4 linked regions of the Lonchura striata genome follow. The protein of the gene in region 2 interacts with the protein of the main gene of each other region in a biochemical or structural test. Links are inferred from orthologs where the notes say so. Each region holds a gene or a part of one and is shown on either strand. Other genes may lie near its edges.

The links.
Region 1: the proteins of RXRA (region 2) and POU2F1 form a complex in vitro, tested with the Homo sapiens proteins (2 studies listed by BioGRID). The link is inferred for Lonchura striata from reciprocal best matches to the Homo sapiens genes RXRA and POU2F1.
Region 3: the proteins of RXRA (region 2) and NRIP1 form a complex in vitro, tested with the Homo sapiens proteins (2 studies listed by BioGRID). The link is inferred for Lonchura striata from reciprocal best matches to the Homo sapiens genes RXRA and NRIP1.
Region 4: the proteins of RXRA (region 2) and TRIM24 form a complex in vitro, tested with the Homo sapiens proteins (3 studies listed by BioGRID). The link is inferred for Lonchura striata from reciprocal best matches to the Homo sapiens genes RXRA and TRIM24.

What each region holds. Positions count from the first base shown.
Region 1 is NC_134604.1:14,930,943-14,938,476, reverse strand, and holds the start of POU2F1 (POU domain, class 2, transcription factor 1), read right to left. Parts: upstream 3,015-7,534; 5' UTR 2,894-3,014; coding exon 2,776-2,893; intron 1-2,775. UniProt on the Homo sapiens protein: Transcription factor that binds to the octamer motif (5'-ATTTGCAT-3') and activates the promoters of the genes for some small nuclear RNAs (snRNA) and of genes such as those for histone H2B and immunoglobulins.
Region 2 is NC_134624.1:8,182,772-8,190,208, reverse strand, and holds the start of RXRA (retinoic acid receptor RXR-alpha), read right to left. Parts: upstream 3,006-7,437; 5' UTR 2,689-3,005; coding exon 2,661-2,688; intron 1-2,660. UniProt on the Homo sapiens protein: Receptor for retinoic acid that acts as a transcription factor.
Region 3 is NC_134604.1:8,744,369-8,751,910, reverse strand, and holds the start of NRIP1 (nuclear receptor-interacting protein 1), read right to left. Parts: upstream 3,012-7,542; 5' UTR 2,731-3,011; intron 2,532-2,730; exon of another isoform or gene 2,470-2,531; intron 1,925-2,469; exon of another isoform or gene 1,898-1,924; intron 1-1,897. UniProt on the Homo sapiens protein: Modulates transcriptional activation by steroid receptors such as NR3C1, NR3C2 and ESR1. Also modulates transcriptional repression by nuclear hormone receptors.
Region 4 is NC_134607.1:226,859-234,610, reverse strand, and holds the start of TRIM24 (transcription intermediary factor 1-alpha), read right to left. Parts: upstream 3,010-7,752; coding exon 2,619-3,009; intron 1-2,618. UniProt on the Homo sapiens protein: Transcriptional coactivator that interacts with numerous nuclear receptors and coactivators and modulates the transcription of target genes.

The sequences.
Region 1 (7,534 bases), on a different chromosome or scaffold from region 2:
GTTTGGCGCCGTTTTTCACAACCTCTGCTTAGCACATTCAAGCTACAAATTCAGTCTTGAAAAACAAGAATTCTGCTAAGGTTACAAGTACAGAACCTATAGCTTCCAAGCTCCTTATTTTGTCATTTTCCACATATGGATGGCATGTTTCACACTCTAGAAACAGAACATGGGTTCTACTGACTATACAGAAATGTCTGCTCTTGATTTAGCCCTCTCTGCTGAGAGATCCATATTTCTATCTAGACATTGCATATATCTCAAATTGAGTTTATTGTTGTGGCAACAGCACACCTAGAATGATTTGAGGCAACAAAATGTGGTTTGATGCTTACAGTGATTATAGGCAACATGCTTTTGATAAGCAGTATTCATTCATTCCTTTACACACAGATGACTACTGAAATTTCACTTTAGGGAAGACCGAATGGGAGTCCTTTGCTTTGGACACAAATATGAAGAGTCCTCCCTCATCCAACAGGAAAATGAGCAAAGAGTTCTTACAAGTCAAATACATTTTGTTGTGGAAACCAGGCTAACTCATAAGGCTACTGGACACAGGATGTAATTTTAAGCCCAGAGCAGAAGAATAGCTTGAACTCAAGATACAACTGACCACAAAAGGGAAGAGCACAGGTTGAGAAAGTTGTCTCTCAGAAAGATGGAATCCATTTGCTGAACCACGTCTGTTGCAGGAATTGAAGTATTAGAGCCAAGGTGCAGGCTACTAATGATAGAATAAGCAAAGCAAACTAAACCCAGAGGGGGGACACAGCTGTCCTGTGCCCAGAACTCAAGCAGGGCAGTCACTGTTCTGTCCTATGAGGAAGCTCACACAAGAAGCCTTCCTACATGATGAGCAAGTTTGCTCAGTCACACGAAGTTATAACTGTACAGACCTCTTTCCAAAAAGCAAGCCAGGACACGTTTTTCTGTCAGGCTATGCTGCAAAATATCCTTCCAGAATAGGTTTTTTAGTACTAGACATACACAAAGTTTACTTAACTACCAAAAGCCTGTCTAAATGAAGAATATTTTATTGTAAAGGTCCATCCTTAACAAAGACCTCAAACATTGCTATTGAAAAAAGCAGCAAGTTAGAAGAAGAAACATCTTTCTGGTAGTGCTCAGGTTCAAGCGAAGGATAGCATCCATTATTTCACCAGCTGACTATTTCTTGTTCAATCTGTGAGCCTTCTGCATGTAAAGCATCAAGAACAATACAGCTATTTCCATTGCAAATGGTATGACATCCATCTGAAGCACAAAACTGCTACCAGCAAAACAGGCTCATATCCGCGGGATACTCAACCTACTGATTCATTCTATGTCGAATAAAAAGGCTGCTTGGTTTGTATGTGCTCATGCAATTTCTGCTTCAAACTTAAAAGAATAAACAAATGAAGTGGGCTTAAAAAACCCCAAGCCTTAATGCCTTCACCTTTTTTTCTTCCTTTAGATCTTCCTTGGGTTTTAAATAAAGGCCCTGGGCTACAACTTCTGCCAACATTATCTAAAAACAAACTCCCCAGAAGGAAGGATCGAAAGCAGCAGGTGCATGATTGAAATCAAACTCTCAGGAGTGAATACATTCCATGCTGCTACTCTGCTAGCAGGGCTGAGGTGTCGCCAGGCAGTGCTGTGCCAGCCTTTCACACACCCTCAGGAATATTTCCAAAGGCATTCAGCAGTGGACACCGGACCAGCCTGAAGTGTTATAATGACTGCACACAGCTGGCAAAGCAAAGAAAAATCTTAACATGTTATATAACATTAACTGTTTTCTTTCACCCAAAGTAAAAGCGGAACTGCCTAATATTCCATGTGCACCAGCAAAAATTATTCATTTATATGCACGGGAGAAACAAAGTTTAATGTGAGTGAAAACATGACAAGAATTATTTAGAAATTAATTTTCAAAAACCACATCATATTCAGAAACAAACATACTCAAACGTCTGCTTTAAAATTTAGCATTAAAAAAAATATCCTTTTACTTAGAGATATATGTTCTTATATGAACTTATATGATTGGAATGAAAATAATACTAATAAAAAAAATATATATATATACATTGAGCTTTTGGGGGGAAAAGCCTTGAAAAGAAATAAAACCTATTGTAAAATTGAGATGATCCATTACTATAAATAACTTTAAAAGACAAAAAGAAGGAATTATGGCATGTCTGTTCCGCAGTCCTGATGGAATCTCAGCGCAGGAAATATATTATCCCAGTAACCTTAAGCACAGCTTGCAACCGTATCAATGGCAACCACTGTGCACTCCCCCTTATTTTCTATTACACACGAAGAACCTTGCTATATTAAAAATACACACACATAACATACATTCTGTTGTGGAATGGTTCAATACAGTTACTAAATTCTTTCAACACTTATGCTCCCTCTCATTCATTTTAATGCCTTAAAATGCATAACACACAGATATGCAAGTCAAGCCCAGTGTTTGTTAGAAGGCAAATGCTTCTCAGACTGAAATCCTAAAAGCAAAAGGTCTGAATTAATATCACCCAAGCCTGTGTAGAGGAAACGAATTCTCCTGGAGCAAGGGAAAAGAGGGAAAACAAACAAACAAACCAAAGCATGTATTTCCCTGGTACAGATCGAGCTATCCACCTAGCAGGCAGCTATTTGCTGCCGATTCACTGGTGAGCTTCAGCCCCACAAATACCTTCTGCATATGTGATTAAGCCACTATGCATAGTCAATCTCCCAGCCTCGGTGACCATAAGAAAGAGCTGAGCTGGTACCCACCTAGAACGTAGTCGCTGCAGTCCAGCATTGCTGTGGTATCCTCTACAGGTTCAGATAGTCCAAGGAACGGGAGAATGGCAATTTCTATCAAATCTACACTACTGCTCTGACTGAACATGAAAGGGAGTGGGGAGGTGGGGGGAGAAATACAACTTCAGTTACACCATAGCAATCTTCAACCGAACAGGGAAACTTCAGTTGCTGTGTGGAGTTTTAGTCTCTCCTACTAGCTGTGTCTGACATTGTCAAGGCGACTGAAGCGTGAAAAGTTCCCCTTTTTGTAATAAAATAGAAACAAAGATTGCAGCTGGCAGTTTCCATAATGAAGCTTAATCAGTATGCGCCTGATTAGGGCCTTATGCAAATCTCCTCTCGTTAGCACAGCAGCCAGCACTTTGAAGTCCATGAACAATTCATTTGCAGAGTACACTGAAAGCGCTCCCTGCATAATTTAAATCACGGTATAAATATTTATCAGCTCATTTGCATATTAATTGGCAGTGCATGAAGGGAAAAATTATCTCCCGAGTGCCAGCATAATAATTAGGGAACAAAATGAATTTTCTTCCAATAGCTTGGCTTCTCAGCCCTAACTCAAGCACAGTACCACAGGGGATCAGGGAGGGGAAGAGACAGAGTTCTGTTCAAATGCCACTGAAATGACACGTACAAATTAGAAACAACTCTACAGACTTAAGCACCTTTAATCTTATTCCTGCTGGCAACAATAACATCAGTAATAAAGGGGATTTGGAAAAAGCTTTCCACACAATCCAAATAATCCCACGAAAACAATTAGCAAGGTAGAAGCTGAACACAAAGCTGTCAAGCCGGTGCTTGCGCATCTGCGTGGAGTTTTCCACATGCGAACACGCACTGTCTCAGCAAGGTCCCAGGCAGGGAAGAGAGTCCTGCCAGGGCAAGGAAGTGGCACGATTCCCTTTAAACGGCTAAAGAGCTTGGTGATTCATTATCGGGTAATCCCTTTGCCACGGCCAACTTAGCAGCAGTGGATATGTCAAGTATTGTGTAACATTTGACACCCATTAATCTATCCCGAGTGAAATCAAAATAGATTTAGTCTTTTGCTTTCCAGTGACTTCCAAGAAAAAAACCAAAAATCTATTACTAATCCCTTCAAGCATGCACACAATATGGCTAAAGAAAGCTTATTTGCAGAGCTATGGTTTTTCAAAGGGGCACGTCACACCCACGCTGCATCTTTGAACCACTTGGTGATAACCAGAACGTGCCTGCTGCTGTGACCACAAAAGTACACTGGAGCACTGGAGAACTGAGAAGAGGCTTTGGTCTATGGAGAAATCAATCTTCTTTTCCAAAAGTGGTCCAGAGAAGTAAGTGGGCTAACTATGATGTTCTATTAAACCATTTCAGATAGTTTGTTGGCCACTCAAAAACTTGTGTCCTAAACAGCAAGAACATTTGTATAAAAATTCAAGCATGATGCGACAATCACAAAATTTATTACTCCATAATCTGGTCAGGAAAAAGTAGTGTGATGATGCAGATGATTACAGGGTTGAGCCACCCACTTCCAGGTGCTAATGTGAATTTAAAGAGTAAGTTGTTTTTCCTTTAAAAATACCATAGCTGTACTTTTCTTCTCCTCATTTCTCAAGTGAATTCAAGCACCACCTCTACAAACAAGAGGGAGTGAGAGAAAAGGGACTTCTCAATCATCCAGTACTGACTGGAATTTATTTCCACGCTTGACCTCTTCTTCTGTTCAGGTTCATATCTCTACTTAACACAAGATGTTCCCAGCTATATATTTAACATAAGTGATCTACACTTGAAAAAGATTGCAAGAGAGGGAGAAGGTGCTCCCTACTACAAGGAGACAACTGCACGTGCTGAATAGGTTTTCCTAATACCTTGTTTCCAACCTGGTTTTCCACTCACTCATATGTCCCACTGAGACCTCTGAGGCACACATTCATGGTTCGCAGACCTTCAGTAAACTTCACTCCTGCATACATACTTTTGGAATGCACTGGGAGATAATCCGTTTGCTTTATCGGAAGAGCCTGGACAGCACTGGTGGAACAAACCAAGCACTTGAGAAAGCAAGGGGCTGAGCTGAGGCAGCAGCAGAGCAGGACAGCAGTGCTCTCCTCAGACCGAGGGCGCTGGGCTGGTGGAACACAGGTGCAGCCCCAGGGGGCAGGAAGTGACCTGACCGTTAGCATCGCGCACTGCGTGGCCATGGCTGATCTGCCTCACAAACACCAACCCCCACACAAACCCCCACTGGAGCTGCAACATCCACTAACAGCCTAATTGAACTAAAAAATTATGTGTTGACCTGTCAAATTAACAACTGGCCAACAAAAACCCAACCAAAGAAAAACGCTCCCCAAACCAACCAAAACCAAACACCACAAAAAATCCAAACCAAATTGTTCTTTCAGTGAGTTCTTCATTCTTTGGCAATTTTATTATCTTATCTTTTATCTAAGCTCATAGAATCATAGAATGGTTTGAGTTGGAAGGGACTTTAATGATCACACAGGTCCAGCTCCCTACTCTGGTCAGGGACAACTTTCACTAGACCAGGTTGCTCAAAGCCCCATCCAGCCTGGCTATGAACACTTCTAGGGATGGGGCAGCCACTTTTTGTTTGGCTCTGTTGTTTTTTTTTGTTGTTGTTTGTTTGTTTGTTTAAATTTACCATTGTCAATCTTTTAATCTCTGCTGCAGTAAAATAGGAAAATGGAAAATGTCTGGAGAAGAATGGTGACTATCACTCTGCTCCAAAACCAGTGGTGGAATACACATTCGTTTAATGTTCTCTTTAGGTTCTGCCACAACACTGCACATTCTTTTCTTTATGGCTAGTCATTAAAAGTTACTTAACACCCTGATCCAAGGACATACTTCTAGTACTCATGTTTAAGCAAAACAGCACTCTGGGCTTTGTTCACAGTTTCATTTTTCCTCCAAAGACACCTCTCAGAAGAGAAAATGCTGCACCTTGTGATAAGTAAAAAGCTTGAAATATCCCATAAAACTACAGATATCTCAAAAAATGTGTCTCTCGTTTCTCCTCTTCAGCCAATTCTGCAGTTTTTACATAATTATTTCCTCCCCCCTCTGCCCCCCCCCCCCATTCTTATTCAAACTCTTCCTTAAAATCAAAGGAACTATCATGGAGCCAGGTATGACAAAAGCAGATTTTCTTTCGCCAGACACTTTGGAACCTGCAGATAACATTTCAGGAGACTCTTTCTACCCCATTCACTTCTTTTTGTCACTTTCTATGTATTTTCCACACCATACCACTTCAAATGAATGTCTTCTTTTGCAGTCTGCCCCATGAATATATCACTTTCTTTATTCAGTTATAATGACAGTACCTGGTTCCTTAATACCACTGTTTTTGGAAAGGGAACATCATTTTTACCTGTAGACTATGCAACTCTTGGTTTTTTTTATATGGATGTGTTTCCATATATTACTAAAATGTCATTTACTACATGGCCTCCATGACAGCTAAGAAATTTCTGCCCTATCCAGCTCAGTGACAAGCATGACCTTTGCAAACTTCAGGGCCACACTTGGTGATTACCCAATAAGCCAACTCATTATTTCCCTTTTAAACAGTGTACTTGGAGTAGAGTGCAAAGGAATACATACAAATGGAATACAAAATACAGGGAAAGGAAATACAGCATTAGCTGAAACATTAGCATGCTGCCTTCATTAGTGTATCAATGCCTAGGACATTCTACCTTGAAGGTACTACATATTTCCAAGTCTCCAACCACCCAAACAAAACCTAACAAAAATTTCAAAAAACAGAACTCCAATGTGTTATTTAAAAAATTGTAAAAATCACACACTTCAACAAAATAAACTGTTATTAAAGTTGGCACAATCCTCTTAGAGTAATTATGGACAGACAGCAGTCTGTTCATAGCTAGGGCTGCAAGCTAACTAATTTTAGCCACCACCTTTGACTGTGGCTAACAGAATTGATTTTATCTGAAAATTGGTGAGTTAGCTCTGAAAGCCAAAAAGAGCAGTTGTCTGGAAAAGTCAAATAAAATTGGCCTGGTTTAGACTTACTGGTCATTAGGCAATTGCTATGAATTGGAATTTTAATCTACATCTAATTTTACTTCTCACAAACTCAAATCATAACTATCCTTTAAAACTTTCAATGACACAAAATGCCTTTCAAAATTCCTTTGTGTACATTTTGGAAGGAAATTAAGCATGTGGAGAGCTAAGCAGGAATGCTAATGTATCTTATCAGTGCAGGACAGCGGATACTTGTTAGCACCTGATACATTAATATAAAAGGGTTTGTTTATGGGTTTGGTTTTTAATGCAACTTATTCTTGTCCACAGAAGGTAGAAACTACCATGGATTAAGTCTTTTTTTCAGAGAAATAAAACTGTGTTCATAACAAATTTACAATACCATCACACAAGGAGGGAAAGAAAAAGGGGGGCAGTGATATGATGAGAGAAAATAAAATAAATACCCTTATTCAAAAAATACAGAATTATAACTTCCACAAGCAAATAGACTTATTTGAAACTCACAGCTAATTGTGCCACTCAGGTGTATCATCTGAACACTTTGCCCTCCCCTTAATGCCTTCAACCCATAGCACATAAGAAAGCACCCATATGATATTTACATAAGTTTTTCTTCCATCCTGTTCAAAGTTTTCTTTTCAATAACAAAGGCTACAAATCCAGTGCAGTCAATTCTTGTTGTCTAAGTAAA
Region 2 (7,437 bases):
GATGGCAGAGGGTGACAGCAGCCAGCCTGGGAAATGCCCGGGGACATGCTGTCCTCATGGGGAGCCTCTGGCTGGCATCTGCCAGCAGCTCTCCAGAGAAGCAGGAAAATGAGATACTACTATTAAAAGTGCCCAGTGCTGGCCACACTTCCAGCCATGACATCAGCAGCCTTATCTAAGTCTAACCACGGGCAGGACTTGGCCAGGAACCACCAGGTTGGCCTTGTTGGGCCAAACTGAGCTTAGATTTTGATGGGGACACAGTAATGGGGTAGAATTTTGGCCGTGTTGCTGCTGTTCCCCAGCTCAGGCCTGTACTGGTATGCAGGGAAACAAATCCCACAAGCTGGGCTGGTTTTCTCCCCTGGGTATTTCCAGCACCAGCTCCCAAAAATGGCATGAGATTGGGTTAGTGAAACACACCCTGGGACCCTGCAAAGTTGGGACCTGGTGGGGTTTGGACCATCCTGCCTCTAAAGAGTCCCCATGGCTCATCCAGCTCTGGTTTCACTGGGACAGTCTCAGCTCACATTCCCCTCAATCCCACAAACTGCTCCCGAGCTTTTAGACACAACCTGCCTGCACTGCCCAGAGCAGGACCAAGATCTCCCTCTCCAACATCTGCAGCAACCACTCCCCTTGCAGCCAAAGGGATTTTTCCCAATAATCAATAACCAAAGACCAGCACATAAAGTTTGGGAGTCTCTCCTCCAGCAGCACAATCCCAGACCACACACCCCAAACAGCCCCCACAGACAGACAGACAGAATTTTCTCCTCAGACAAGGAGGAGATGTTTTAGCCTCCCCCAGCAGGTCCTGGGGGGCTGCCCTGTTTTTCCTGGGGATGCTCCTGGTGTGCTGCACAGTGTGTGGCGCAGCCCCACCACGCACACATTTCTAAATGAGCAGATAAATCAGTTGTTTTCCACTTGCAGCAGCGTGAAAACCCTTCCCGGAGCCAGCAGTCACAGACTCTTCCCCTCCTACCCCCTCAAACCAACCTGACTAATAACACAATGTATTTTTTAGTCTTTACAGCACAACAGGAGAGTTCAGGACCGATAGAAAACACAGCTAACATACACAGAGGCCTGAACCCGCCCGGATCAACCCAGATTTGGATTGTCTTCCACAACAACATCCAAGGAAACGTGAATCCCCCAAACAGCCACCCCGAAGGTTAAAGCACTCCAGTGAATAAGAGAGGCTCCTTCTGCTGGGATGAGCCCCAACAACCGCACTGGACACAACCAAGAGGAGCTGGTTTGATTTGGAACCAGGGACACACTGCAGGTGAGATGCTTTTGGCCCCAGCAGCATCTCCCAGCCCAGACAACAAGGGGCACTCTGAAACTGAGATTTTTGGGGGCACGGAGATGCCACCTAGAGCTCTGCCAGCCCACATGGCCAGGGTCTCTCCTGCCAAAGCCCCCAGACCACCACAGCCCTGGAAAAAGCCTCTCAGCGGGCTGGGATTGCAGGAAACATTGTGATGTTTGTATTTATTCTGCTCTTTTTAAGGAACGACTGAAATTGCGATTTGTCAACAACACAAGCAAAAAAAAAAAAAAAAACCAAAAAAAAAAACTGAATGAAAAAAACAAAAAAACCAAGAGGAAGAAAGAATCAAAACAGAGCAGCGGCAGAGATTTGAAGCCCGGAGAAGGCAGAGGGGACGGTCTCGCTGGCTGTGCTCGCTCGGCCGGAGGCTGGGAGCCAGCGGGCTGAGCGGGGACAGGGATGGCAGCGCTCGCCCCTCTTCCTCCTCGCCCGGACTTGGCGCCAGGCGACTTCGCTCAAACTTTTCTTCCCCCCACCCCGAGCACTGAGCTCTGCAATATCACTTCTCCTGGAAGCGAGACGCAGGAGGCATTCGCCCTTACAAGCCAGGACTTGACTCAGTCACCGAAACGATGGCAAACTCCGGCTGGAAATAGGGTTTTAAACGCAGCTAAAAGGAGGAGAGGGAGGGGAGGGGGGGAAAAAAATTTAAACAAAAAGGCAGGAGGGTCCCAACCGCGGCGGGTCAGGGAGCCGGAGATGCGAGCGGAGGGGCCGGGCGCTGCCTCCCCCTGCCCGGCTGCGCGCCCCGGATGCGGCGGGGAGAGGAAAAAAATAAAAAAAACGGAGAAAAGTCAAAAATTAGAGCATAAAAATAAACCGAGAGGAAAGGCAAGAGGGGGAAGCGCTGCCGAGCCCGAAGCAGAGCCGGCCCCGGGCGGGGAGGGGGCTCTGCCGGCTGCCGCTGCCCCGTTCAAAGCGCCGCTGCTGGGGCCGCTGCCCGACCGGCCCGGCCCGGCTCGGCCCGGCTCGGCTTCCCGGCCGGGGCCCGCCATCCCCGGGGCTGCGCTACGGCAAAAAAAAAAAACCAAAAAAAAAAAACAACAACAGCAGAAAAAACAACAGCAAACCAAAACAAAAATACCAACTCCAAGGCAGGGGCCGGGGGCCGGGGCCGGCCCGCGCTCGCCGCGGCGCTCCCCGGGGAAGGGGCGAGCGCATCCCCCGCCCGCCGGCCCCCGGTGCGCGCCGCTGGAAGGGGCAGCGGAGCCGGGGGTGGGTGCGGGGGGAAGCGGCAGGACAGGCGGTGATTTTATCGTCCCGAAGCACCCGCCACCCCCCGCGGTAGGAAGGGAGAATCTCTCGGAACAGAACTCACCCAGCGGCAGGAAGTGTTTGGTGTCCATGGCTGGTGCTTAACTCATGCCAAGGGGCTCGGCGAGCGCGGCGGCGAAAACACACAGGCAGGGCGGGCGGAGGGGAGGGAAATCAGCGCGGGGGGAGAGGGGAGGAGGGGAGAGAGGAAAAAAAAAAAAACACCCACGGGGAGGAGGAGGAGGAGGAGGAGGAGTGAGGAAGGGAGGAGGAGGAGGAGGAGGAGGAGGCAGCGGGGAAGCTGCAGCTCCGCAGCCGAGGCCGCGGAGTTGTGGCAAACTCCCGAGAACGCAACTCCGCCGCTCGGCTCCGCCGGGCGCGCCCGGCTCCGCGCCGGGGCCCGCGCAGGGGGAGCGGCGGCGCCGCGCCCGCCCCGAGCCGAGCCGAGCCGAGCCGAGCCGAGCCGAGCCCGGCCGAGCCGAGCAGCGCCGCCCCGCGCCCGCCCCGCCGGCCCGCCGCGCTGCTGGCTTGATGGGTTTTTCTTTTTTTAGGATTTTTTTGGTGGGTTTTTTTGGTTTTTTTTTTCTTAAAGTGATGGGGGAAAATGGGGGGAAATAGAGGGGGGGAAGGAAAAAGAAAAGGGAGGAGGGGAAAAAACAAGAGGGGAAAAAGAGGTGGCGAGAAGGGGTAAATAGAGATGGGGAAAAGGGGGGAGATGAGAATGGGGAGAGGGGGAAGGAGAGGAAAACGGGAGAAGGAAAGGAGAGGGGGGAAAGAGAAGGAAAGATAAAAGGAAAAGAGAGGGGAAAGAAGGAAAAGGAGAGGAGAAAAGAGGGAAAAGAAGGGGGAAAGAGAAAAAAATAATAAGATGTGCGTAGCGCTGCAGTGGCAGCCTCGGGAGGGGAGCAGAGGGGGTTCTGGAGAGATGCTGAGCAATGCCAGCTGTGCCCAGCCCCGAGCATCCAGCGAGCCCCCGAGCCCGCTGCCCTTCCCCGGGGTGTGTCACAGGGCGGGCAGCGCTCAGAGCGCGATTTATTCCATTTCCCATCCGTGAGGCACAACAAATAACTCGTGTGTGTGTGTGTGTGTGTGTGTGTGTGTGTGTGTGTGTGTGTGCGGCTCCTGTGCAAACTCTCACCTCCTGGGCACCGCCGGTGCCACCCCAGCAGCACCGCTGGCTGCTTCCCAGAGCCCCGGCCCCCCTTCCCAGGCAGGCCTCCAGGTTTAATAAATGATACTCAGCCCTGTAAGAATGTGTATTAGTGGCTTGATGGACCAGAGCGACTCCGCTATGCATGAAGCATATTAAACATCCTATCGACCCTCGCTTTCCACGGCCGTAACATGCATAACAAACAGGCTGGGGCCACGCTGCAGCTGCTCACACACGCTGGGGAGCAAGGCTGGGCACTCGGCGAGGCTGGGGTGACACCAGGCAGGCTGGGGTGACACCAGGGACAGCTGCTGGGGGGGTTCTGCTGGCACAGATAGCTCCCAGCTCTCCTGCAGTGGGGTAGCTGGGACAATCAGGGATGTCCCAGAAGCTCTGCCATCACCTCCCTGTGTGGCAGGTCCGTGGAACGCTGCTCCGCAGCCTTATCTGCCCTGATTTATTCTTTAATTGGCCAAGTGTCTCGTGCCAGAAATATTAGCAAGCGAGCAGCTCCTCCTGGAAAAGTGAGGCCTCTTATCTGCCACCCACCGTATCCCTGCGGGCCCTCATCGCTCCATCTCCTGCCTGTCCCTGTGGGGTCTCCAGCCACACAGGAGAGGCTCTGGAAAGGCCCCCAACACCTGGATTTCTCCTACAACTCTTCTGTTGTAGGAGAACACAAAACCCTGCCCTTCCTGCAGGGCAGAGCCACGTGGGGATGGTTGGATGAGGGGTACACAGCTGGCAGCACCTCAGGATCCCAATCTGGGACCTCTTCACCAGTCCATCTGCTTTAGAATAAAAATTCCAAACCCACTGCAATCCACCTGAAGAGCAAAAACACCAAAAAGGATCCGTCTTGTGTCAGGCAAGCGGCTGCAAACTGACACTCAGGTGGAGCTGCAGAAGTTAAAACTAAATAAAGCGTCTCGGATCCTTTTAATCCTCTGCTCCTGTAATTCCAGCATGTCCAAACAGATTTTGGTGTGTGTTTATAACTGGTAACTTCATTTGCTCCCGGGCCGGGACCTTAAATGCCAAGTTTCATCTCCAAGTCAGTTTTTTAAGAGTGAGTTACATCCACTCCTGGGAAAAAAAAAGAGGAAAAAAGGAAATACGTAAGGAAATAAAAGAAAGTTGGGTTCAAAGTCTCTAAGAGTACAAAAATCGTGGATTTCATGGATATCTGTGTACAGACTGACAGCTCAAAGGTAGAAATCAGTTTCCTAATAGACAAACTAAAGCTCATCTCTCCGATAAGGGCAAGCACAGCTCGGGGCAGAGCTGGGCTCTCACCTGCCTGTCCCCACCCCGCTGGGTGCCCAAGGCCTTTGGGGCTTTGAGTGTGTCCATCACCAACACAGGGGTGGGGATCTCACCCCAAAGTCCCATCCCAAAGCAGACTCATCTCCCTGGCTGCAGCAGATCCCAGGGTTACGAGAGCCAGGGCTGCAAATCCACCTTTGCAGACTCCCAACACATGAAATTACCATAACCAGGACATTTCATGCTCCTCTCCCATCAAGCTGTTTAGAGCAAATTAAATTTCTCCCTAACCAGGCTGTAACAGTTCATGTTAGATGTGGATCTAAATGTTAATTGCAGTGACAATAACAGGTCTGATCCTGCAATCCTTATTTGAGTAAAACCTCCCACAGAAGCCGAAGGAATTTTGCCCCAGAGAAGGCAGCTGGATGCAGTCCCACATTTCCAGTCTCTTGAAGATGCCAGAAGGTAAGCCAGGATATTTCTGTGATGTTACAAACCTTCTCTTTCCCTTTCCCCTCCCTTCCACCTCCCATGAGTTCTTTAATGCACTATTAATTTAATAAGCTGCCTAATACTGTGCTCACCTTCAGCCTCACACTTCCCAGGAAGGACTTCAATCATCATGGGGGAGCACATTCGGATAATTTTGGCAGCTCGTTGCCTTGTACATCTGGTTGGTGCAGGGATGCTGGAAGGTCCTGTGCTGGCTGGGAGAGCTGGCTTGGCAAACTGCTGCTCCTGTCCTCGGCACCCATGGGTGATGCCAACGCCCTTCAGCCTGGGCTCCTGAGGAAGGCAGGCTGATCCAAGGGGATCATTTAGGGGTGCCTGGCCTCAGCTCTCAGTCCTGGCTGAATTTGGCAGGGAGGGATGCTGTGTTCGTCAGATAAATCAATTAGCAGCTTCTCCTTCCATCCACACTCCCACCCCATTACCATCCCTTTGGGGCAAAGGGAACCAGGTGCACGTGGACCTCAGCACTGAGAGGTTTTGGGAGCTGGGGCCACACTCAGAACTGGGCACTTGGGCCCAGTGAGTGAATTTGGAAATCACAGCCTCTAGGATTTTTTTTCTAAGTGGTTCCAGTTTTTCTTGTCCATAACCCTGAATTATCTGATGGGAGACAAAAGCAAAACCTGCTGTGCTTCCCCTACTGTTTTATGCCCTCCTGCACAGTTAGGAAAAAAAATTAAATCTATTTTCCTGCCTGGCTGCATTTTGTTACAAATTAAAGAAAGAATAAATGCAAAATCTGACTGAGAAATAATAGAAGCTCATGGGTTGTGTCTGGGTTCCATCTCTAGATGCACATGTGTGGCAAGCACATTTCTGTCCCTCTCAGGATTTTTCATAGAGGTGCACAGAGAGAAATGAAAGAGAAAACAATTTCTATTTCTGCTCCTTGCTTTTCCATGTGGAATGTGTTTGGAGAATTGTTTCCCTGGGGTGAGTGCTGGGATGGATTCTGGTGAGGATTGTTTGAGCCTTGTGGCCAATCCAACCCACCTGGGGCTGGGCTCTCAGAGAGGGTCACGAGTTAAGTATAAGTTAGAGATAGAATCAGAGAAAGTAGTATGTAGTTTTATTATCCTCCTTTTATATAATATATTGATGTATTTTAGCATAATTATAATAAAGAAATCATTCAGCCTTCTGAATTGAGTCAGACATCAGCATTTCTTCCCATTGGGTTTGCCTGCATTTACAATACCCATGGAGGCTGTGGCAGGTGGCCAGAGGTGCTGTGATGTGGGAGGAAGGGTGGCTGTGGCTACTGGCCTGGGGCTTGTGGCCACCGGGTCCCTCCCTGAGCAGGCAGCGTGGGACTCCAGAGATCTGAGAGCCAAACCCAGCCAAGGAAAGACACCCTCCACTGATGCAGGCTTTGGGGGACCTTCCCAGGCTTGTCTTCACCCCCAGTCACCTGCTCTGCCAAAGTCACTGCAGGTTCCAGCACCAGGATCTGTGTTCCCTGTGTCTCCCAGCAGAACTGCAGGAGAAAAGTCTCTCCTCTGTGCAAATTCCTGCCTCGGTCTGTGGGTCTTCAGGACAGCACCCACCTCATGCTCTCAGGGGGAAAGAGGAGCTCACAACCTGCTTTTCTTCCCTCTAGGAAGGAGAGAAAGACACAAGAAGACTTTGGGGGGCAGGTCAGAGACTCTGGAGCCTGAAAGTGGAGATGGTGCCTGACCAGAGCCTTGCAGGACTCTCAGCATCCCTCAGGCACACCCAAACCCCTGCAGCTGCTCGGGGGGTTTCTGCTCCTCGGGGACACACAGAGCAGCAGAGCTCCAGGACAGGCCACTTGTGTCACTGCTGCAGACTCACACTGCCTGGTTTTGTTTCCCAGCAGCATTTGCCAGGCTGCTGGTGTTTGTTTATCAAGTGAGTTTGTCAAGTGGTTTATTTGAACTGCTGG
Region 3 (7,542 bases), on a different chromosome or scaffold from region 2:
ACAAGACTTCTGGGGTTTGAAGTACAGGCGAGCTCTGAAGAGCTATTCTAAAATAATAATTCAAAGATCTTATGGTCTTTATGGTCTTTAGCACAGCCCTAGAGCAGGACAGCTGACCTGGGGAAATGCCTTGGGCAAGTTTATACATGTGCTGGGCTCAATGCAAAACAGGTTTTCTCTTTTATTGTAGTCATGTCCCGCACTGTCGCTGGTAGAATTAACAGTGCTCTCACTGCTTATGATAATAAAGCTGGCACTATATGAACTTTCTGCCAATGCTCAAAGCCTGAAAAATAAAGTTAGCTCTGAAGAGACAAAATAAGTTTTAAGCAAGCAGGACTCTGTCAATTCTTTTAAGCAATCCCTGCAATAAGCAAAACTACAGGCAAATACGAGCATTATAAAGTTAATTCATGTTTGAATTAACTGAATCACTTAAAAAAATGTCTTCATGCCTTTTACAGAACAGATTTATCCCAAACACAACTATCAAACACTGCAGGTGATACAGCCAGTGATTAGATCACCCTTTTAAGTTTACAATATAAAAGCATTATTTACTTTTACTTCTTTATCAACATAGTTTTTATGACTATAATAAATTTTGCTTAGCACACCTTTCACTTTAGAAAAAGAAACAAGCATGGGAAGCAGAGAAGAAGAGCATCTTTCCATCTGCAATTTTCTGCCAAAAGACTAAAAGGGAAAAAAACCCAAAAACCTCAATCCAGCATGGTTTGGCTTTTGACTGCATGTTGCATTCTGTGCATGCATGGCCTACAAAACCTGAAAGCCATTGATAGCTCTTGCTCATTAGGTAACCCAGAAGCATAGGCCAGTCTAACAGCAGGTCAGATTTCACCCTGCCCAAAACATGCAGTCACTACTCCTTACCTCCTCCATGGAACTCACAGAACACAAACACCCTCACATTCGCATTTCACTCATGATCAACTCAGTCTTCCTTCCGAGTCCATGTCAACTCTATCTCAGGAGACCACCGACAGAACAAGTCAAACTTCTCTACCACAAGTTTGGGAAAACAGCTGCCTCAGATAGCGAAAACCCCAAAGCTGCCTGAACACTGTTCTCGATGAGAACTTGTGCCTTCCAAGATGTTAGCTACTGATACCCATGGAGCAGAATTACTCAGATACCATTAAAATCTGATCCCAACCACAAGATATCCTCAGCTCAGAGAGCTTTTGTCATCTGGCATCTTAATGTGTCACTCTCTCATGTGTTCAGTCAGCCCTAGAAGCAGTAAATCGCATTTGTGTATTAAAGAAAATGTTCCCTACTCGCTCAGGAATACACCACCTCCTTTCCACAAGTGACTGCTTCCTCCCCATAGGTCTTCACAGATTGGATTCACACTCTTTGTTAAATAAAGCTTTACCGTATCTCTGAGCATTTATAGTGCCATGACTCAGTTAAATTCTAATCAGCCTGCGAGCTGTCTGACACTGCAGCAGGTCCCCTCAAAATAAAACAAGGAATAATATAGTCGCCAGATTCCAGAGAGATGAGGCAAAAGAGGACAACTTCCACTTCAGCCTTCTTAACAACAACATAATCCCAAAGCCAGAAATCCTGCTGTTTTTTCCCAACACCTCCAACATGTGTCAAGCTATTTTATCTGAATCCTTCTTTAAATTAAAAGCCCAGTAAATCCCCAGGAATACACAAGAGAGAAGAAGAAAGGTGCAGCACAAACACAAGGCTGTCTGCTCGCTACAACGCTGCCCCCGTTTTGCCTACACTACGTTTCCTTAGGTCTCACTACCTCCCAACTTAATCACCCGCTGACACTTAGAACGAAAAGCCTCAAACAACACGTTCTGCAGGGAAAAACGAAGGGTGGCAGTGGCAGGAAGAAAAAAAAATTAAAATTCACCTTTAGAGGGCTTCGGGGACACACCAAAAAAAAAAAAAAAAAAGAACCACCACGTCTGGAAAAGTAACCTTTAGTCTAGAAGGGAAACAGCGACGTCCCTAAGGAGCCCGAAGCGATGAGAAGGCATCTTTGGGGGGCGCAGGGAGCCGCGCCGCGCGGGGCCGGCCCCGGGCTGGCGGCGGGCCCGCAGGTGGCGGCGGGCGGGCAGCGCCAGCGCCGGGAGGCGGCGGGGCGGCGTGGCCTTGCCCGCAGCCCCGGAGCGAGCCCGCCCGCCCGCCGCAGCCGCGCTCCGAGCGCCCGCCCGCCCGCCGCTCGCACCGGGCGGGGCGGCGCGGGTCCCCGCCGAAGGGGCCCGGCCGTGCGCTCGGCGCGGGTCCCGGTGGGGGGGCGGAATAGTAACTTTTCCGTTCCGGCGGCTCCCCCAAACCCACCGCGGCCGGGCAAACTTTCCGCCCGCACCGCGGGCGCCGCCGCCGCGCCGGGCTCCCCCCGGCATTGTTCCCCGGTAGCGCGGCCCCGGCCCGGCCCGGCCCCGCTCGGCCATTTCCCCGGCGGAACAGCGCCGCGCTCACCCCGCGGCCGCCGCGGCTCCTCCCGGCCGGGCCGCCCGAGCCCCCCGGAGCCGCTCCGGCCGCAGCCGCCGCGCACGCCGCCCTGCTGCCGCGGCCGGTCCCGGCGCTGAGCCCCGGGGAGCGGCGGCTGCCGGAGCCGAGTGCCCAGGCGGGTCCCCGCGGCCGGAGGACAGGACGGGGCCGGGCAGGGCAGGACGCGCCGCCTCCCGCCACCCCCGGCCCCGCGCGTCCCCCCCGCCCCGCGCATCCCCGCGCACATACGGGGCGAGCCGAGCTCCGCTGCGCTGCTCTCCGCGGCTCGGGGCTCTGCTGCAATGCCTGCGAGGCTGACTTTCAAAGCCTAACCCGCAGCCGCGATCCTCCCTCTCCGCCTTCCACCTCGCCCGCCGCGGCGCAGCCCGGCCCCTCCCCGCGCCGCGCCATTCATCTCTCCAGCCAAGTTTCTTAACCCTTTGGTAACCTCCGGCAGGAGGCGGGGCGGGATGCGGGCACGCAGGGATGCGCCCCCCGCCCCGCCCGCCGCGGCGAGGGCAGGGCAGGGCGGCCGCCCGCACGTACGCGAATCCCAGCCCCTCCTGCCCCCTCTAATTAACCTGACTGAGATCGCAGAGCCTCCGGGAAACTCACGAGCGACAGCACCGGAGGACCCGTATCGGATGAAAACGGCAGTGGCTTATAAATAACACTTTATTTTTTTCCCTTTTTTTATTTTTCTTTTTCCTTTCCCCCTTCGGCTGCTTTGGAATAATAGGGGGGAGGGCGCTATTCGTGCTACTAGTACTTGTCAGTTTACAGCTTAAGTTTTCAGCCTTTCCTCCGAAAAAAAACCACGGGCTAGAAAGTTCAGTGCTATCATTATAATTATCATTATTGTTGTTGTTGTTACTACGCTATTTTGAAGGAAAAGCCGGGATGCTCCCGGCAGCGGCCCCGGCACCTGCGGCTGCTCCGGGGTGGCGCTGCCCCGCTTCCCGGCGCATCTCCTTCTCCCAGGGCACCGGGAGCGGCGAGCATCCCTGCCCGGCGCTCCCTGTGCCGCGGGGAAGGAGGACGGGGGGGCACACCAGCTCATTAAAGCCACGTGGCAAATAAATGCAGTTTAGGAGGGAAATAATAATAATAATAATAATAATAATAATAATAATAATAATAATAATAATAATAAACCAACCCGGAGCAGAGCAGTGCTTCCCAAGAAGAGTCAGCCCTATATTTTGCTAGGCGACGTCCCCCAAAGCTCTGCTGTCAGAAATTGCACGGAATGTCAAGTTGTTCTTTAGACTTTGCTGCCACCAAAGAGAGTACGCAGAGATACAGGCTGAGCTTGGCTGTACAAACGAAGCTACAAAGTGCATGCGACCTTCATCACACCTCCTGTGTGCCTGTGTTTAACAAACGTCTCGCCGTGTCGCACACTGTCTGCCAAACGCTTTACAGAATACTTCATGATACTTCACTTCTACAAGTCAAAGACTGACGAAAGAGAAACAAATTTGTTTGCAAGTCACATATAAACTGCATGGTAATTACTGCATTAACACATGCCCACCTTTTAGTTTTAAAACTCAGGTAAAATAAATGATCTATTCAAGCGTCTTTTTAGTGGGAGACTAATATTAAAGAGCACAGGAATTTCCACTTTAAAGAAAGCGAAAGGGAGTCACATTTATGAAAAGCTAAGTATTTTAACTGAGTGATAACATGAATGAAAGTAGATGTAGGAATGTTAAATAAAACCTCTCACTTTGGAATGTACAGATTGTGTACAGGCTTAGAGTGGAGCTAGTAATGTATTACTTGACCTATTTTTTTAAGCCAATGAAAGATTTAGGTTAACTTCATCATGTGTTTTTAACCACTTTCTTCCAGACATGCAGCAGCATTTTCTAAAGCCATTGCATGTCACAGTGTTTATACAAGTCCCTTTTTTTAAGAGCATAAGTCTCATAATATAGCCTACTTGTACTTCCATGAAAAGAATGGGTTTTCTCTTCCTTTCCATTATAGGCTCATGAGCAAATTTTGATCGTAAAGAAATTATCCCTAATTTTTTTATTTCACAAAGAATCTTCATCTCAAATTTTTTTCAATGCTAAGCAGCTGAGTTATCTGGGGAAAAGGAAATTTTCTCATTACTGCAGCAATTTATCTGCTATTTCAATCAAGAGTGTCTGTAGTAGAGACGTCTTTCATTCTTAACCTTAGGGAATGTATTGCGTAGATGAGAGACCTACAAAATGAGGAATCTTGGACAAGCAACATAAAAAAAAAATGTGTGTGTGGAGTATTTGTTAAAATGATTGTTGTCTGGTAACATATAGTTGCTTGAGGACACAAGTTTCAGAAGATACAATCAACGGAGACTGTATTAAATAATAAAACATAAAGATTTAGTAGGTTGTTTCCACTGCTTAATAGTTGTATCACAATGAATTGTGCCGCTAGTCCATGTTTACTTAACTATGAGAATTCAAACAATATACCGAATAAATACCCTGTACAAGTAAAGGAAAAAAATGCATCACGTAGTAAATTCCATCTCTCAAGAAGTATGAAAGTACTGATGTGAACTTGTTGGTCCTTTCTGAACGTTCTTCAACCAAACCCAAACACACTCTCACTCCCCAAACATAAAAGGTGAGCATCCATGGCTGTACCAATCCACCATCTGTGGGTGGTGTCTATACCTTCACTGTCCTACAGACATCACAAAATTTTGGACACTTTGCTCAATTTTTTTTCAAAGGGAATTCATCGCTATAAGATGATGTTAAATGGAAGGCCAGTTGTGACAAGGAAGCATAAACTACCTTTACATCAGTCTTGGAAGGGAGAAACTTATTATAGAGCTTACATTAGAACTCACTCCCAGAAAAGCAAACATTTAGTGGAGAGCTATTGGTGTCATACTTTGGTAATATCAGCAAACCATTTCTTTTATATATTTAAAAAAATATATCCTAATGCATTTTTGACCTAGGAAAACTTCTATCAAAACCAAAATATAACTATGATTCTAACATTCTTGAAGAACAAAATTAATCTGTCTGACCATTTAAAAAATGGTTAAATAAATGTTGATGTACCTACAACTTATCTTTGATAATTCTGATGATTACAATAGTACATTTAAAAAAGATAAGCAAGGATTCATCTTCAGTAGCAAACTTTGTCTTCAACTTACTGAAACAAAACACATTGGTGTGTGCCATATGGTAAAAAGATACATATTATCATCAAAAAGTAAATGCAAATGCTATTTTATTATTCCCAAATGTTTTTAAGCTAATGCTAGCTCATTTTTAAATCACATAAGGTGCTTTGAAGAGCTTGGGAGAACTACAGTTGCTTTTATTTTGATTTTTATTTAAGGTTATCTCAGCCTCTCAAAAAGCTAACCACTCTGAAACTACCTTTTTCAATCACAATAATTAAGGCCTTGCTTTATGGCATCCAATCATGATATGAGAGGCTTAGGTTGTGGTCGAGAAGCTTTACAGAAATGCATTTCCAGACTAAATCTTCCTCTAAAATAGTTTGTCAGCCTTACATAGACAAATAATGAAATTCTGTCCTTGACTCAGCCTAGTTCAATTCACGTAATATGTCAGATTAGCCACCATTCCAAAGGTGCCTTCACAGAGGATTAAATCACCTAGTTATTCCAGAATTTAGGGAGACACACACACACACACACACACCAAAAAATAGAAAATAAAAAGAAAAAAGGAATTATGATGAATCCTGTTTATTCAATAAAAGACTTCAAAGGAGGTTTGCTTAAATTAATGATCATCATATATCAGTGTTCATCCATAAATCTGAAGTAGTAAGGTGCAAAATTCTGCTGTTCTTCAGGGGTACTGTCTGGGAGTACCTGAAATCAGTGGGAGCCTTACAAGTGTTATCAGGGAAGAACTGGTCCAGGGAAGGGTTCTTGCAGGGGGGTACCACAGGACATCTCCTGTTTTCCTCCTGACAGCAGCAAGTCTGCAGCTGTTGGTGGTAGAGTTGAATGACACAATGATGTGTAAAAGGAAGAGTAAGATATTCTATGGCTGAAAGTTATAAAAACTACACACCAGTGCTTTTTCATCTACCTAGATTTAAAATTATGAAGGCATTTGCATGCATACATCTATCATTCCCTACTGGAGTTGTTTTCCACTTCCTATTTTTTTTTTTTTTTCATTTTTTTAATTACAGAGTCTACTTCCATTTTTACAAGTACTTCCAAGCAGGTCATCTGAGAGGAATGTACCCTTAGTAGCTCAAATTAACTTTTTTTTTCCTTGCATTATTTAAAAGTAGACTTCAGATCGTGACTATTTATTCTAAGAGTAATAAGCAAAGGACCAGATGCTAGAGTCTTTTCAATTACAGAAACATTTAAAGACAGCTGTACCATATAAACTCTCATGGAGGAATCATATGCTTGCAGCATCTGGTGAGTTTTGGCCATGCCTCCAGCACGCTGTATCTGTTCTGAGGCACGAGCTAGGGTGAGGCTTACTTTGCCATGTGTGTTTTTGGGGTAGAGGTCTGCAGGTTTTTGACCCTAAATGAGGAATAACACTTCAGGTCTTACATTTAGTGGCAGGAAATAAACACTACTTGACACCTTTTATAGAAGAGTCAAAGGGGCTGGCGCTAAATTGATATGACTACCTTACATTAATTATTTTACCAGAACAAAATACCAGGATTTTTTTATCCAGAAGAGAGCATCCTGTACTCCTGAATTTCCTTCCATTTCATCCCACTTGCACAAACATGAAGATTATATTTCTGAGAACATTGTTCTGATGAGTCACGTTCCTGGTAGTGTGAAAGCACATCCAGAAAATAACCATGCTGGAGTCCCTGCTCATCAACTGGCAGGAGAAAGCAGCAGCAGAGCAGGTACTGCACTGCACAAGCACTGCTCCTACTTGGGGGTATGCAAAGATAATGTCTGAGAAGGTTATAGGCATGCAGCTGGAGCTGTTCAGAACACTCATTTTCCTTTCAGAATTTTTCTCTGACAAAGCTGAATTCCCCATGTCAGCAGCAAGAGATTGAAAGAGGACTGAA
Region 4 (7,752 bases), on a different chromosome or scaffold from region 2:
CGCAATTTATTTTAATAAAGTGAACAAATGTTTCTTCTTGGAAACAGTTTGATGAAGAAAAAAAGTCTCTCCAGATTATATTTGAAGCTCAACCTCTCCAGCTACCTGTTTCTCAGCCAATTTCAGTACTCATACAACACACAAGGCTGGTTTGGTGAAGCATTTTTCAAATCACATCCTCTCTTTTGTTCAAGACAGACTCCATTCTACCAGTCTTTCTTCAGGCTTCTTTTTGTGAAACTCAAGCACCCAGCACGGGCCCATAAGCACCCTGTCTGCTTATCACTGCTCAGGACATTTTCATTTGCAGTTCTATTGCATTCCTTACTTAGGACATTCCTTCCAGCAACAGATTCCTTGATGCTTATTTCTTCAGTTTAGTCACAGTAATTCCATAATTTACATGAGAAGAGTCATTTGTTATCCAGCTTTCTAAGATTATGCTCTTCCTTCATTTCTTTGTGTCATTCACATAAGCATTTTGCACAACATATTACCAGAAGAGGTGACAGTTTTGCACCACTTTGGTCTTTCTTACCTTCTTGTGAAAATTCAATAACTCCTCCAGCTGTAACAGATTTCCTCTATATTATCAGTTTTGGATCCATAGCAAGTGAGTTTTTCCCAAACCTAACTTCAAATTCACAGTTTTTTGGTATTTTTTGTACCAGTTGGAAAATGGATAGTAGACAATGCACTTCAGTTTGGCCATAGCTAGCTAATACACAGTCCCTGTCATTTTAACCAAGTCAAACACATGACCAGTAAAGATACAAAAAATACTCAGGGTGAGTGTAAGTTTCTTCTTCCAACTGCACAATGAACTCTAGTATGGAAGCATGAAAGTAGCTTGGGAGAAAAGTCAAAAGGGTAAAAATAATTGTCACCAAAAGTACAGTATGTCTGCAAATCTTTAGAAGGAGGAGTATGTACTGTGAAATCATTAATATAAAGAACCAACTCGTAATCAAAAGGAGGGAGCAGAGCTACAAGCTCACTGTTGCTGTGATTCATTATCAAGCAGATGTTTGAACAGCACTGATGTTTTAATTCTTATGATGCATCTCATTTCTCATTCAGCTACAGATCCCTATTTCTGCTATATTTATAAAGAACATCTGGGAATGGACCTGTATTGTTCATGACCTCAAATCTCAGAAGACAATGATAATATTGCTTCTTACACTACCTTGCAAACTCCTGAGCTTGTATCTATACCCTCTTTCCTATTTCCAAGTATCTCACCTGAAATACCTCATTAAACTCCAGAGTTTGTGCTTTTTCTGTTCCTCCCAGAATCTCCCTCCCACTTATAGACATATGAGCAGTAACATGTCTTGAATCAATCAAGTATAAGTATACGGGCTTTGGGTCTCACAGATTTTCCCACTCTGTAACTTGATTAGGCAGTCTGACTACGACATACTTTACATGCTAAAATTAAAGACTGAATGAATATACTAACACAGACACTCGCATAGATGAAGAGGTTCAGCATATCCTGTTAACATACTTGGGAGCTCCTCAGATGTTCTGAAGCAAATCTCTAGCTGTTCCAAGTATTTCTTTCTCTGAAGAAGGCGTTTCCTTTAAGAATTTCTGCAAACACTTTACATATTCGAGTGGTAATCTTTGGTCAGAACTCTGGCAGGATGAAGAAGTATTCCTAACTCCACTTAAAGAACATAAGAATGTCAACCTGGAGCTACTACTTTTCACCTGATCTCTCACTACATATTCCAACAAGTACAACCTCCACTAATACCTATCGATTAGCTCAATTTCCATCACACTTCCTCTTTCCTAAACAAGTTTTTCCAAGACCTTCACCAGCTTCCACAACAGGACGAAATTGCCTTTAACAAAACTAAGCGATCCATTACACCCAGCCTAGGAGGGCTAGGGGGGAAAAAAAATCAAAAACATTAGGAAAGTAGCTTTAAACGGAAGGAGTTTATTCCACACCTTCTACAGCGACATGTACTTTTCAATCATATTGACAGAGGCTACTGTGTCGGCACACGAGCGTAACAAAACTTCCTCGCGGTAATTAGCAAGTAAATGGCGCATAAGCGCATCAGCAGAGCCGCCCGGGCTGCCCACGGCCCCAACAAGTGTTGTTATTGTTCGGCCGCCCCGGTCCCCGCCCAGGCCGGCGGATGACACCTGCAGGACTCCCCTCAGGAAGAGCCTGTCCTGCCGCTACGTTCCTGTGCCTTGTCATCAGATCAGCCGGTGCTCGGCTTCTTTGCCGGCCAGGGGCCAGAGCCTGCCGGCTCCCCGAGAGCAGCCGCCCGGCCCGCGCCCACCGCCCGCAGCGGGAGCCCGGCTCTCAACGCCCCGGTCCTGAGAAAGCACGGGAGTTCTGCCTTCCCTCCCAAGGTGGGAAATTTAAAAAACAGCGATTAAAACAAACCGAGCCACAGCACAACCCCGCCGCCAGCCTTGGCGCTGGCGAGCATCTCCTATCCCGGCAGCTCCGCGGCCGGACACCCGCACCCCGCCCACGGCACCCGGTCCCGACAGCTCCCGTCCCCACACGGGCCTCCGGGCTGGAGCGGGCAGCACCCCGGGCAGCGGCAAGGGGGTACGGGCAGAGAGGGAGAAGGGTCACTTACTGGGCGTGCAGTGCATCGGTGAGGCTTGCGAAGAGACGGGCGAGGAGGGAGGCGCCGCCGGCGGCGGCTCCTTGAGGGCGGCGGCAGCCGCGGGGGTCAGGACGGGGGGCAGCATCAGGTACCGGTCCGGCGGCGGCAGGCAGCGCTGGCACACCGAGTGCAGGCACGGCAGCAGCTTCGGCCGCCGGCTCTGGATGGACTGCCCGCACACGCCGCAAGTGTCCAACAGGTTGAGCGGCGCCGCGTCCCCGCCGCGCTCCGCCGGGCCCTGCCGGCTCTCGGCCTCGTTCTCCCCGCTCAGCGCCGCTGCTGCCCCCGGTCTGTCCGCCGGGCACGGCCCCCCCGCCGCCACCGCTACCGCAGCTGCTAACGCCCGCGCCGCCTCTTCCATTGTCCTGCGCCGGTCGCCGCCGGAGAGGCGAAGAGAGGCGGAGCAGCCCCGCCGCTTCCCGCCCGCGCCGCCGCCGCCTACCGGCGCCTGCCCCGCCGCGCCGCCAACGGACGCCCGCGCGCCGCCAACGGACGGACGCTCCCGCTCCGCCCCGCCCCGGACTGCCCCGCCCCGCCCGCAGCCCGCCCCGACCCGCCCCGCCCCGCTCCGCCCCGCCCCGCTACGTGCGGCGAACGCTGCCCCGCCCACCTCGTCCCGGGAGCCCCGCCCTCTCCTCGGCACCCGCGGCCGCTCTCTCTCACCTGGGCGGTACCTGGCTCTGTCCGGGTGAGAGGAAGGCTGGGAAGTTCCTCTTGAATTTGAGGAAAAACTTCTTCACTGTGTGGGTGACCGTGCTCTGAACCCTCGGGTTGCACAGAAAGGGTGTGGAGTCTCCCTCGCTGGAGATGCTTAAGAACTGTTTGGATACGGTCCTGTGCCATGTGCTCTAGAATGACCCTGCTTGAGAAGGGATGTCGGCCCAGATGACCCACTGTGGTCCCTTCCAACCTGACTCATTCTGTGATTCGGTGAGACGTCTTTGTCCCTTGGACAACACATTAAAAGAGGTCACCCTTCTCCCTGCCCTACGTGCAGGTGAGAGGCTGTGAGTCTTGGCCTGTATTTGGCTTGGCCGATCACAGCAATACCACCACATTACCTGACTGAAGCTATTTGGTGATTGGTACAATTAAAAAGATACAACAGAAAAGTACAATTCTTGTTTAGACAGAACATTGTATTGAATCAAAGGCCTTAAGTATTGTGCTGGTGAGACATTGGAGAAGGTTACCCAGAGAATTGTGGATGTCCCAACCCTGGAAACGTTCGAGGCAATGTTGGTCCCATACTGAAATCAGACAACAAACTTTCTAACACAATTTTAAGTATCAGACAACAGACACTCTTTATTACCGTGCTGGACACATCAGAACGATAGCTCTGTTAATCTGATGTGCTTCCAGAAGGTACAAGTTATTTATTCCATCATGATCATACATACTGATTACAGTGTACTTCTGGCTAATACATAAACATCACTTTTCACAGAACTAGTTTGCATGCATCTGCCTTCTTCTCTCCTACTCAAAGCCTTTTAATGTCCCTAAAGGGTAGTCTGAAGGGGTCTTTGTACTCACCAAGTGCCCCCAATATTACAGATGACCTTTCCTTGAACTTCTCTTAGGGCATGTACTGCTGCTTCTTTTGAGATAACTTGGCCCAAGAAGCCACTATATTCCTCATTATCAGTTTATCTACTGGTTCGAGCCCATTTATCATCCTGTGTGCACACTTTCACATTCTTTTATCATTTTTTGTTAGCTGATCTATTCAGCAACTTCAGGGGAACTTAAAATTTGTCTTCTCTGTGTTATCTATCAGGACAGGACTTTGAGCAACCTGGTGTAGTGGAAGGTGACCAGCCCATGGTAAAGTGGGGTGGAAGCAGATAATAGTTAAGGTCTCTTCTAACCCAAACACTTCTGTGATTCTGTGAGCTTCTATGAAGTATGCATGCAGACACAAAGCTAGATCTAGCATGTTGGTTGCTACATCGACCATAAACCAGATTCAGGCTCCTCAGAATATTCCAGATGTCTGTGCTTAAATTCCCAGAGCAGCTAGAATACTTCCCACTTCCTTGCAATTTCTTTAAGACCCTAACAAAGGTCCCGTAATAAATAGGACCATAAAAAAAGCCATACATGATAAAATACTCATTTCTTCAGCACAAGGAACTGTGTACAGGAGCAGCATCATGATTCAGCGTGTCTCACACGCATAATTTATCATGGTAACAGGAGAACAATACTACAGGTTGTACTGGGGAGGAGGAACGGATTTGGCATTACAATGAGGAAATGTTAAGAGGGAAATGTCATTCTCTGATTAAGAATATCAGTGGAGGGGACAAGCCATTACATTCCCAACCCCTGACCTGCCAACACATAAGGAAAAAATGCCTCCAGAAGCACCTTCCTGAAGTACACCTTCTGCCTCCCAGTCCAGCTGCCTCTGTCCCTTTACTAAGAGTGATCAAGTGGTAGGAGAGAGTCCTGTAGTTTCCTCCCCCCACCGATTTGGTTATTCAACACCATATGACAATGTGCTAACAATCCATTGTGGCAGGACCTTGCAGGCTGAGAGCATGCCAAGTGTGAATGATGAAATAGATTCTGGAATTAAAGTTAAGGAGGATGGTACAGGCTCTGCAAGATGAAAATTACCAAAAATGCCATTAGAAAAGGTCTATTGAGGAATAGGCAATAATTGAAGAATGGTTGATTAGTATTGAGAGCAAACATGATCAGAAAATCAGTAAATAGTACATTTGTGAGGAGTAATAGCAAGTCGTAAGATCATCAAACTAGGTAGTTTCTTTAACTAGTATGAACTATTTCTCTAACAGATGTCAGCACAGGAAAATAGCAATACTGTATAATGGTACAAAGATTACCCTGTAAAAGAACTGAGTAGAGGCTGTGTTGAAAATGATGATCCCCATGAGGCAGTGTCCCAAAGATTAGTAAAATAATAGGATTATGTTTCCTGCAAAGTTTGTTTGCTTAGGATGTTTGCAAAGCTTGCTCAAACTGTGCTGTAAAATCTGTAGTTGCATGGCATCAGAACAGCATCTGATTTAAAATGAAAGTTTGGACTTGCATTATTTAAATTTGAATGTAGAGCCTTCCTGTTAGTTATGGCATCATATTAGGAGTACTTGGGATAGAAACAAAACGGGCATGGAGGAACAGAAAAAAAAAAACATCCTGAGAAAACCAACCATTCAGTACATGTAGACAAGGGAGGGAGGAAAAAAACTTTTAAATGTAACCACATTGTTCAGGCAAAGTGTGACAAGGATAGGGGAAAGAAGTGGCATCCCGTTATACCGACCTGGGTGCACAGCTTTTGGCCACAGCTACACCATACCTGGCTACCAGGGATCACAGGCAGAGCTGGCTTGGGGCTGTTGGAAAAGGGCATGTAGACAAACCCACACAGGGCAATACATGCTGTACTCATTTTTGTGTGAAAACAGCTGATGGTTTTGTCTAGTGACTTGTTGGGCTCTCCATTGTTCCACTGGAATGAGTCAAACCAATGAAGAAAGAATGACGATGGTGACAAGCTGATAGCTGGAAATCAAGATGACTAGCTAGGAAACATCCAGAAGCTGAGGCTGCTTCTCTCTTCCCTTTCTATGCTACTCATTACTTTTGTTTACAATTTGTTTTAGTACCTCCTCTGCTTCTTCTGGACATCCCATTTAAAGCAAATTCCATAAGCATTTTGCCTTCTGTTCAGACACACACTTTGTGGCTGCAATCTAGATCTTTGCCATTTGTAATCTATACTCCTGTGATATCCTCCACAAAAAGTTATCATTCAGAAACTTCAGCTGCAGAAAGAAATGACTGCCAGCTGCACTGAAGAACTTCTCAATGGAGTTCTCATAACTAGAAGTTCCTTTCACTTAGAATTTACTTGCTGGCTCTGATTTCCTCCTTTTGTCCCTGGTTCAGTTTGTCTCTTTCTTGTAATTCTAGATTGTCTAGCAGTCACTTGGTCTTGCAAATGCAACAGATGCAAATCTTTCCAGATTACCATCAACATCAGCATGTGCATTTCCTCCTCTTAAAACAGCCATGTGACACTAAACAGTCTCTTTCCAAAGTTTTTTTACAGACTAAAATAAAACCATGGGGCTTTGCAGTGTGCCAGCCCAGTTTAACCTTTATGTGGCAAGAGTGAAGGAAGTGGGGAGGAGAGTCAGCACTCCATCTGTGTCATTAAAACATGTTTTTGACACAGTAGTCATCCAAGAAATAGACCTGGCAGCTTTCTGGCCAGACTGTATTACAGCAACACGAAGCAGTCACTGGGAGGATGTGTCCCAGAATATATAGCCTTTACTGGCCTGTGTTCTTTTAAGAAATGGACATCTTAATGTGTAGTTGGTTTTCAAAATCTGTAAAATATAAAATATGTTCACTAGAAGTAAGATGAATGCATTAGGAATGCATTAATGGTTAGGGAAATGTAATATATTAACCTTTCCAGCAACAGTAAAGTAGGAGAATTTTACATACTAAAGCATCTGGAACAGGCAATGAATGAGCATAGTGCTGCCCAAACTGTGAAGGTTGAATTAGGAATTGATCTAGAATATAGCTTAGATCTGTAGGCTGCCTTTTGGAATTCCACAATCAAGAACCCATCAAGCTACACTTACTTTTTCTTTCAGTGAGGAGAGAGTGAGAAAAATTACCTAGGATTTTCAACTTTCGGTTTTCTATACTTCACTCACCTAACATATACAGACACACATAAAACTTTTCTTCCAGATTGGAGGATGGTTTCTTGGAAACCTCTTTTGTGTCCTATTATTTATGCTCTTTACCCCAGTAAAATATTTCTCCAGTGCCTGGCAAATAAAAACTGAGACTTTCACAACTGAGATTTGCTTGACCAGTTTCAGCTGGAAGCTCACCACAGATAAGGCTGGGTCCAGCACCCTGGAGTGGGCCAGCTGCCTTGTAATGTTTCCAGTTCTCCATGCAACATACCTCCACTGCAAACTATGGAATAATATCACCTCTGCACACTTTCCTACTAGTTTTGTAGTCAGAGAAGACACTCTGCTTTTGTAAATTTACCTTGGGTTCATCCCATTAGATTCCCTTTCAGGGAAAATGAACT